Linked DNA regions of Schizosaccharomyces pombe. Each later gene encodes a partner of the first gene's protein in a complex. Each region holds a gene or a part of one and is shown on either strand. Other genes may lie near its edges. A codon is read from its position in the direction of its gene.

Evidence for each region. Proteins that work in one complex are often made in the same cells at the same time.
Region 2: the proteins of asf1 (region 1) and pcf2 are in contact, whole or in part, in a crystal structure (PDB 2Z3F), measured with the Schizosaccharomyces pombe proteins. Residues at the interface, in NP_588267.1 of Schizosaccharomyces pombe: Phe28 (codon at 2,764), Asp37 (codon at 2,737), Leu60 (codon at 2,668), Leu61 (codon at 2,665), Val62 (codon at 2,662), Gly63 (codon at 2,659), Pro64 (codon at 2,656), Ile65 (codon at 2,653), Pro66 (codon at 2,650), Gly68 (codon at 2,644), Ile69 (codon at 2,641), Asn70 (codon at 2,638), Lys71 (codon at 2,635), Phe72 (codon at 2,632), Val73 (codon at 2,629); in NP_594450.1 of Schizosaccharomyces pombe: Lys503 (codon at 1,320), Arg504 (codon at 1,317), Ile505 (codon at 1,314), Ala506 (codon at 1,311), Pro507 (codon at 1,308), Thr508 (codon at 1,305), Pro509 (codon at 1,302), Val510 (codon at 1,299), Tyr511 (codon at 1,296).

Annotation. Positions count from the first base shown.
Region 1 is NC_003421.2:1,641,711-1,646,749, forward strand, and holds asf1 (histone H3-H4 chaperone Asf1), read right to left. Parts: upstream 2,875-5,039; 5' UTR 2,846-2,874; coding exon 2,057-2,845; 3' UTR 1,192-2,056; downstream 1-1,191. Other genes in the region: SPOM_SPCC663.18 (GTPAse-interacting protein), read right to left, coding at 880-1,007, 1,056-1,087, 1,124-1,161; osr1 (dehydrogenase), read right to left, coding at 3,405-4,166. UniProt on the Schizosaccharomyces pombe protein: Histone chaperone that facilitates histone deposition and histone exchange and removal during nucleosome assembly and disassembly.
Region 2 is NC_003424.3:4,117,786-4,122,925, reverse strand, and holds pcf2 (CAF assembly factor complex subunit B Pcf2), read right to left. Parts: upstream 3,053-5,140; 5' UTR 3,028-3,052; coding exon 2,896-3,027; exon of another isoform or gene 2,801-2,895; coding exon 2,698-2,800; exon of another isoform or gene 2,657-2,697; coding exon 2,414-2,656; exon of another isoform or gene 2,349-2,413; coding exon 1,288-2,348; 3' UTR 1,052-1,287; downstream 1-1,051. Other genes in the region: protein Gid5, read right to left, coding at 1-777; mgs1 (DNA replication ATPase), read left to right, coding at 3,953-4,544, 4,588-4,618, 4,664-4,681, 4,726-5,140. UniProt on the Schizosaccharomyces pombe protein: Acts as a component of the histone chaperone complex chromatin assembly factor 1 (CAF-1), which assembles histone octamers onto DNA during replication and repair.

The DNA of each region.
Region 1 (5,039 bases):
CAAGAAGCTTTCAACACATCTTAAGTCTACTTGTGTAAGGAAAATATTTACAAATTTAAAACTTGACCAGAAGTAAAAAAAATAAAACAAAAATTTAATGGTAGTCATGCAGAACTTCAATTGAGTATAGATTAGTCAAAAACGAGCTAGCTGTGCTAAAGTTCAGTGCCAGTGACGTTGAGCTTAAAAAATAGAAAATAGAATAGAAAAAGATGAAATGGCAACACATTTGGCAGAATGATGTCCAAGGAAATCGATGGGAACATCAAAGGGTCAGAAACAAGAGAATAAAGCGTGAAGGTGTTCAAAGCCCACCTACCCACTTGCAATGAAGGTTGAGCGAGACGCAATAAGTTTTAAATGATAATTGGAGGGTCTTTCTTTTTTTTTTCTTCGCTCAATGAAAAAGGAGATAAACAAAATTGCAATAATTCATGTCTTTTAATAACGATATTAATTAGACAACTCGAAAAGGTATGTGGGTCGAAAGGCGTGTGGGGAACTCAAGAGGGCAATCAGAAAGTAAAGCCAACGTGTTTTATAATACGATGGGGAAAGCGAGGGATGGATCAATCCAACCAACAGCGACCAGTACAAGGGAATTTCTCTACGTAAAAAAATGCTAAAGGCCGCTAAAGGGCTGATCCATCCAACGGAAAACAAACACTTAAAGTAATCCAGTCATTCGTCCAAAAACTTTTCTGAGAATTCGCAGTTTTAACAGCGTTCTTACGCATCTATCCAAACGAACCTTATTTTTTTTTCTTCTTCATCGAACGAATCATACAAAAAACATCAAAAAAAGCGATTAATCAATTCAATGGTGCATCAACAACTCTTTCTGTACAAGTGTTGCTTCATAAAGAGGGTTAAACGACTTTACTTCTTGGGAACAGTCTGACGATTCTGAAAGGCCATCATGCTGCCGATGTATTGGCACAGATACTCGCTTTCTCGACTAATGTTTTCAGATTCCTGTTTGTTTTGATCGATCTCATCCAACAAAGCTATCAATTGTTAGTCTTTTCTTTCTCCAAAACGCACCGCCATCGTACCTTGCAATTGCTGTTGCAATTCCATCGCTTTCCTATCAATTTAGCAAAGAACTAGCAAAACCACTTACTGCTCCATCAAACTTCTTGGCAAGGAATCTGTACTCATTGAGTAATGCGCTTTTTTTGTTTTTTTGCGGAAAATGGGAGGTTGGGAAGTGTCTTACCAGCGTAGCGTCAATACATGTCATTTCCCATTGCTGTGACTTAGGGGTGTCACTCAATTTAAAGAGGCCACTGCAAGAGACATTATCCTTAATTGAGTTGAGTATTGCTATACGCAATATTTAAATAGCGTTTTATGTCATAATACGTTTTATTAGCGAACGGATTACATTGGAGTACGCAACTGATGGGTCTTGCAATAAACAAATATACATAGGGCGAAAACTAGAATGAGTGCTGCTGTCTTTTGGATGAATAAGTTAAATATGGAACATACTAATAATGGATCCACACATTAATAAACTGGAAAAAGATCCCGTCCCGTAAGGATAAATCGAGGAGAGAAAGCTTGCGTCTGTGCCCTAATTATGTTTTGAAAAACATGAAATGCACACTTCATACACCAGGATGCGAAAGTCTTTCAACAATTTACATGGGAAAAAAAGAAAATAATAATCTAATAGAACTCCGTTCCAAAATATGGAACGTTGGTACAAATGATGCGTTTAGGGCGATTGGAAGAGGCATACAATAGATGCTTCTTCCCTCCATTATGCAACGGAAAGGTCGACGGTTCAAAAATGAATTTAAATAAAAGATGTGTTATGAAAAATGCTTTATGGTAACAGGAAAAAAAATGCTATTCCTCTTTTCCCATTCCATAGTTTTTATTCTCACACTATCACCAGTCATGAATATTTTACATCGAAAAAATAACGGGTAGAGCGATATATATGCGCAAACTAAAAGAGAGTATACAAAAAAGTAATCATGTTCTTTATCGGATTAGTTCTTGTCAATATTAGTATTAGCATTCAAAAAATAGTCCGATTATCATTTTACTGAGACGTCTCTGGTTTCTCCTCAGGTTTCTCTTCCGCAGCTGAAGCATTTGCAAGAGCCGACTCTTCTTCTTCTTCCTCTATATCAATTTCTTCTTCTTCTTCTTCTTCCGATCCTTTCCCATCATTTTCTCCTTCTCCATCACCATCACCTTCTCCATCACCGTCTCCATCGTCTTCCTCCTCCTCCTCCTCATCGCCTTCTCCCTCTTCATCGAATTCTTCCTCCATTTCATCAGCTTCCTCCTCTTCTTCCTCTTCGTCCGCGTCAGGCTGAACTGGTGGAGCATCGTCAAAGTCGGGATTATCCCACTGAATGTTGAATCGAGTCACCCTTGGCTTTTCTGCTAAAATACTGCGCCAGACTTTAGAAATGTCAACCTTGACCTTTTTAATTTCTGCATCGTCCATTTCCTGAAGGTTCAGGCCCTCCATCTCATTGTTGACATAATAACCTACTCGAACAAACTCATTATCCTCATATGCACAAGAGAGTAAAATAACTGTGACACCCAAAACATCGCTGAGTTGAGGTAAAAGATCGATATTAGGAGGATCAGCTTCAAAAACGAATTTATTAATCCCGATTGGTATAGGTCCCACTAGTAGCGTGTCCAAAATTTGGTCGTAACTTTGAGACGTCGCACTACCTACATATGTCAACTTCCATTCCAGGTCGCTTTTTAACGGCTCCAGACATTCAAAGGTAATTTCGAATTTATATGGATCAGAGAACTTTGCCGGATTATTTAGCACATTAACACTAAGGATATTCACGATTGACATTTCGAAGTGAAACGCGTCTAAGCGATTGCCAAGAACAGCGTAGGTGAAGAAAGGTTTCGTAGAGTTCGGATAATTAAGGATACGCTTGACTATTTTATATCGCTTTTCGTGCTCTAAGGTAATAACACCTATTTGATTCAAACATATAAGGATTAAAATGCAGTAAATATAAATACTGAAGGCACATCTAAACAATGCCTCACTATTCGGTAAACAATAGAAAACATAACCATTGTTAAGTATTTTATGCGAAAGTACGAAGAACTTACAGAGCAGTTTAGTTAAACATAACCGTTGTTTAATAAAAATTTCTATTTCATTAATAATGCATGCAATGTACAATTAATATGATCATCAAATTTCATTGTGCAAAAACAACTCGTATGTGAAACATAAAAAATAGACATAACCTCCTTCATCTCTAATTATTAAAAAAGATATACAAGCGGATTAAAACATATATTTAGGGTTATTGTAAGTTCCTTCGATCATTCGGTTATATAATATTGATGCAGCTTAACAGCAAATCCGAATGACTTGTTAATGATGTGAATTTCCATCAGTATGGAATTGTAGTACCATCATAGTTGAAAAAAAATCCATTATTTTCGGGCTTCAAATTGTCTACAACTTTCAACATATCTGAAGCGCTTTGGTCTGGTGCCAAGGCCTGTTTCGCAAAGATATCTAAAATTTCCGGTTTCGCTTCAGCATGCTGATTTACAGCTTCCTGAGCTGAATCGGTTCGAACCATTCCGGGATGAATTGAAATCACTATGAATCCTTCATCTTGTAGCTCAAAACTAATTTCCTTCATTGTAAAATTTAAAGCAGCCTTGGATTGGCCATAACCAGATTGGTTAAATGGGAAGAAAGCACCCATGGATCCAACTAATGATGAAGTAAAAACAATGATTTTAGATTCTCCTTTCTTCACAAGAGGATAAAAGGCTTGGTAGACATGAATTGGTCCTAAAACATTGGTTTTATAGTGAGAGTTCCAGACATCATCAGGAGTATTCAGAACAGTGTTGAAAGAATGAAAAATGCCCGAATTTACCCAAAGAACATCTACTTTACCTACAGCTTTTGCAACTTCTTGAGCGGCTTCATTAGCACTCTCTAGAGAGGAGATATCTAACTTAATAATATGCACATTGGAATGAGACTTGCTCCATTCTTGTAATTCAGTAGCAGCTTCAGGCTTGCGGGCACTTGCAAATACAACTGTTCCTTCTCTGTTGCTCAATTCCTTAACAAGAGAGAGTCCAATGCCTCGATTTCCTCCTGCAATAAAGTAAATTTTGTTGGTAGTAGACATATTCTAACACAATATTTGAATGATCCTTGAATCCGTTTGAAAAGTGTAATTTGGTGTCGGCAATTTATCATTAACTTCGTGCTTATATACCAATTCTTCAAATCATTATGCTTACGTGATTTGAACCGTGAATTTTGATGCTTACATAATTGAATATACTTCCAAAATCAGCAGGTTCATAGTAGTTCACGTAGAGCGTTAGGTGATATTTTGCCATATAATATGGATATTGCAACTAATCTTTATAACCCGTTCCATTGGTTTGTCAGCTGCTTCCTTGATACTGCTTGCATACTGAATAGTATTCCTTTAAATGCACCTTTCTTTTAATTTCCTTGATAAAGTATCATAAAGGGAGAATTTATTTGAAAATTGTTTAATTGATAATGCTGAGACATTGGCCATAGGAGAAAAGCGTTGAATCAGGATACAAAAAAACAACTCTTTTAAACCTTGAAGTCCTTTCACAATAAAAATTATTAAACAAAAAAAACATAGAAATAGAATAATTTTAAGATAAAATATAAGTTTGCAACCGATTTAAGCATTGCTGTATGAACACTTGAATTTTTTATATGCGACGCCCTTCTTTATATATCCAAAGGTTGAATAAAACGTATCAAGATCTAAAACTGCTGAACAATCCAAGTGGCACCTTGGACTCGCTCAAACTTTTTATGCTCGTAAACATTTGTAAGAACATATGAAATTAACAAAAAACAATTGTTTGAACAAATCATACACTGGAATCTAGAGAGCAAAGTACCTTTAAAAGGGGATATCAAAACCGTCATGAGTACGAAAAGATCCACTGTTTTCGGGTTTCAAGTCGTCTACAACCTTTAACATTTGTGCAGCACTTTGATCGGGAGG
Region 2 (5,140 bases), on another chromosome or scaffold:
TAAATCCATATCGCGAGGCGAAACGTGACCATTTGATTCTAGCCGGGTTTTCTCTCTTTGTTTATAAGACTTCACATGCTGTTTTAAATAAGCATTCAAAGTACCCAGGGAGTTAGTAATTAAGATAGAGCAATCATTCCAAAATCTTCTTCTGGAATACAAGCGCAATTGGGTAGCTCTGTTAGTGATTTGAAATAAAGCAGAACAGAATCGTGGAGAGTCTCCAACTTTAGAGTTATAAAGGATAAGACGATGCAAAATCTTAGAAGATAAATTTGAGATACGCAACACATCAAGAGAAGGTTGTTCTTTCAAGGGTAAAGTATACAAGTCAAACATTTGATTAATTATAGAGTCCGAATGTAACTGAGTGACATATTCTGCTGCTTTGTCAAAACTCAGCATTGTGTTAAAAACTTTAAGGGTGATATTCAGCATTCCATATGGTGTACTATCCCTTTTCGAAATCATTTGCATAACGGAAAGAAGATCCTCGTGTCGTAAAAATTGAACGAAAGGGTCCTGGTCCTCACTCATCAAGGAGTTTAAAACAACAAAAACTTGATATTTTTCATTCATGGATAAATTTTCTAAGGAAAATAAATTAAGCAACAGCTTTGGAGCTCCATTGCGAATTGCATATTCTTTTCTGTCGGGTCTTCCAATTACCCAATTTTTGAAAGGAACGATATACCTCAACAACTCATGCTCATCCTTAAATATTTTAGGATTTTCTTTAAAAAACGAAGAATCCGTAGAGTCGTTAATGGCGACCATTCATGAACAAAACTTGAAGATATTTGCAAAAAATATGAGACTTCAGTAAATTTGGAAAACTAGCGTGAAAATGAGCTGATTAAATCTTTTTTTAATAAAAGTAGATTATTAGCAATTTAATCTATGCAATGAGTAATGTATAAGATGCAATTCCTATAGAATGGTGGTGATGTTATGTGTAAGAGGGTTCCTCAATACGTATTTTATACTTACAGAAAAGTTACATATTAGTTTTATAGTCTTAAGTAGACAAAAAGTACAAACGATTAGAAGTATTATTTGCTTTTTATATATTTATCTTAACAATTGTAATGAATTTAATTGTGCTTATATCTAAGCAAATTACCGAATGATTACATCCAAAGTAGAATGTACAGTTTTGCCTTCTTTTTTTTTTTTAAAAAAATAAAAGGTTCTTTAAAGTTACTAGTACAAAACAAGAAGTACGAGATTTTTACTCCAAAAATCAAAGCGTATTGTCGAAGTAGAACTTTTTTCATAAACATGAAATTATGGATAAACGGGGGTAGGTGCAATACGCTTCTTTGATACTTTTGAAGATTCAACTTTTCTGGGAATTAGTGTTGTAGTAGCTGGTCCCCCAGCCGTATTGTCTTGTGAATCATCAATACTAGAGGGTGAAGCTGATCGTTTCTCCGGCAAAGAAATTTTGTGTTGACTTTTGACACCCAATTCTCCAGGTTCAAAGGTAATTACAGAACAAAAACCATCTATAGAAGTCATTAACAAAACATTTCCATCATCATTCCAAGCTATGTCTGTAAGGTTAGAGTAATGTAAATTTACTGCACGATAAAATGGTTTGCAAGTTTGCGTATCATAAATATAAACAGCATCTTGACATGCCACAGCAAATACCATTCGATAAGGAAGATTAAAAGAGACAGAAGTAAAAGAGAAGTTAGAGAATGAGTTCAATTCATAATGAATTGGAGAAAAACGAACCGCAATAACTGGTTTTTTGAATCCATTAAGACAAGCTACTGGCTGTTTGGTTATACTCCCTCTTGTATAAATATAAGCAGTATAGGGAACTTCAAAGTTTGGTTGACCGTGCGGTCGAAGCCGACCAGCAGGCGTAACTAGTAGTAATCCGTCAGGGGAGAATGCTGGACGACGAAAAAAAGAAACAAGAGTTTCATTGCAGTACAAAGAGTAACTGATTTTTGAATTGAGAGAATTTGGAGGCTCTGTTCGCTCTAAGCTTCCATCTTTGACTATGTTTGCAGTTGATGAGAGAGCTTCGTGCTTAGATACGGGAGACTCATTATTATTAGAAGTTTCGATAGGTTCTGATATCCCCGATGATTCATCATTATTTAAGGGCTTCGTAACAGATATTAATTCGAATTTAGTTACATTATACTCAATACGACAGATGCGCGATTTTAAAACGAGTTGGAATTTTTTCGGATTCTTTTTTTCCTCTTGAATTTCGTATAAACATATAGAACGATCACTACTTTCCGAAACGATGTATTGATTCAAAGGATCCCAACATACCCCTTGAACGTAATGTGAATGGTCGAATTTTTGAGTAAGCAGTTGCCCTTCTTAGTCAGTAATTTTAATTTAAAAAAAAATATTGCCAATAACAACAACTGCCAATTCATACCTGTGTGAGCATCGTACAACCGAAGACTATTATCCATGGCGCCGGCAATAAGAAAATTACTGTCAACCGACCAGCATAAATCATATATTTCTGAACCCATCGACCTACAAACTATTTTGACCTTCCAATATTCTTTAGCTAGAGCCAACTCTTCCGCATCATCAGCCAAAGTTGTTATAGGAGTGTTAGTTGGAACCCATAACATAATAGTTCCTTCATCTCCGGCGGTAGCAAGAATATTTCCTATTTTAATGTGAGCATTGGAAAAAATTATTAGCGAATACCTTCTGGATTGAAACGAACGACGTTCACTGCTTGCGTGTGTCGACTTAACGTAGACAAATATTCGACTTTTGTGGATGATTCCGAAGTGATCAATTGCCATATCTGGATATTAGTATAATTGAAGGAATTTTCTTTCTTTTTTTTAAACTACAACAAACAATAGTTGAAGCAAAAATAGTTTTATGTCAAATCATTACCCTGATTTTACTGTCTCCTCCACATGTAGCAAATTTATTAAGACTGTTCTTTTGAAAATCAACTGAATAAATAGGTGTGTGATCATCATTAGCATCATAATGCCATCGTATCTGCAAAACCTCCGCTCTCATGTTCCTCTTCGTCGTTAGTGCTCTAGGATCGCTTCGCACAATTTTTCTAATAGTAATTTCGTGAGTACGGAACTAACGTGTATATTATTTAGAGTTCAAAGAGAATTTTTTATGAACTCTCTAATATTGTTGTTATTTCTATTATTTGTCAATTTGCTTTGGGTTCAATGTTCAAGCAGCATTAGTAGTTGGAGGAAAAATTTTGAATTATATGCTGAGTGCCCGTTATACTCTATTTTTTTTTATCTATTTAAAGCCCTTTAGTTTGCACAATAGTCTTCTTATTAGCCGTGCGATTACTATGTTTAGTGTTAGGTAAGTTTATAAGGTTCGATTTCTTATAAATATTATGGACTTTCACAGTTGAAATTGCATCCTTTCCCCTTGGTTTAAAAACAGAGTATTTCATATAATAGAGTACAAAATTTGAGGGTTTAAAACGCGTAGTTTACAAGTCTTGGATCAACATCATTTTGGTTTTTAGACATTTTATTATCTTCCATAGACTCATCATTTCTATTGTTTTTTTTTTAATATCTTATCATTTAGGCGGTGAAATTGCGTATAAAAACTGTCAACTATAATAACACATATGAATTTAAAATCTAACTTTTTCTTGTAAGTAATATTTTTAGCTTAAACAAATACTTTGATATTATTATAACCTCTTACTTCATCGTATAATTCCCTAACTACACGCGACGACTTGGTTCACGGTTTTGTACAATCGATGCCGTTCAGCTCTGTTATATTGCTGTTGAGAGTGTCATAAACAACAAGCAATTTTGATGATCAAAATTCCTTAAACGTTACTTTTTTTTGTAAACTTTCTTGCCAAAGGTCGCTCATTTGTATGTGTTATTGTTTCATTCCAGATTTATCTGTTTACCTTTCGTACCACATACTTTTATCTATGTAAATCAGAATGTCAGGACCAGATCATGTTCAATGTCCTGTTTGCGCGAAAACAGTTACGATGAATGACATTAATCCACACCTTGATTCACATTATTCGGACTCATCAGGCCCTTCGAAACCTGTTTCACCCTTTTTTAAAAAGGAACGCTATAAACATCATTTAGAAACAAATGTCTCATCTCACCAGAGCGCTACAAAATTTATAGAGCCTGAACCCAGCCCTACAAAGAAAACTAAACTTACAAGACGGGATACACGACCACTGGCGGAACGAGCAAGACCCAAATCACTAGATGAATATGTTGGTCAGGAAGAGCTGGTTGGTGAGCGAGGCATCATTCGTAATCTGATTGAACAAGATAGGTGCAATTCCATGATTTTATGGGGTAGTGCTGGAACTGGAAAGACTACGCTTGCTAGACTAATTGCCGTTACAACAAAATCAAGGTTCATAGAAATTTCTGCGACTTCGACGACTGTTGCTGATTGTCGTAAAATCTTTGAAGACTCACAAAATTATCTCACCTTGACAGGAAGAAAGACTATTATTTTCTTGGACGAAGTACATCGTTTCAACCGTGCGCAACAGGATATATTTTGTAAGTTTGATATTTTTTTATCTCTTCAATTAACCATGACTAGTGCCAATGGTTGAAAAGGGTCTAGTTACTCTGTAAGTGATGCATTCTAATATCACAAATGCTAACCTTTGAATTAGGATCGGCGCAACAACTGAGTATGTTTAAACACTAATGTTTTCCACCATGATTAACATTGTAGAAATCCTTCTTTCCGACTAAATTCTGCTCTCATTAGCAGATGCCCCGTTTTTGTGCTTAAGAAACTAACGCGTGATAATGTTAAGAAAATATTAAACCATGCTTGCTTACTGGAAAGTGAGCGACTAGGATCTTCTATGCCCAACGTTGAAACATCTATTATTGATTACATATCTGCTATTACAGACGGAGATGCTAGAATGGCCTTAAATGCTTTAGAAATGTCTATTGGAATGCTAAGACAAGGACCCCTGTCACTCGAAGATATTAAGGACAAGCTAGTCAGATCTTCTGCACTTTACGACAGAGTAGGTGATGTTCATTATGATACAATTTCTGCCTTCCATAAATCAGTAAGGGGTTCTGATGTCGATGCAACTTTATACTATCTGGGTAGAATGCTCGAGTCTGGAGAA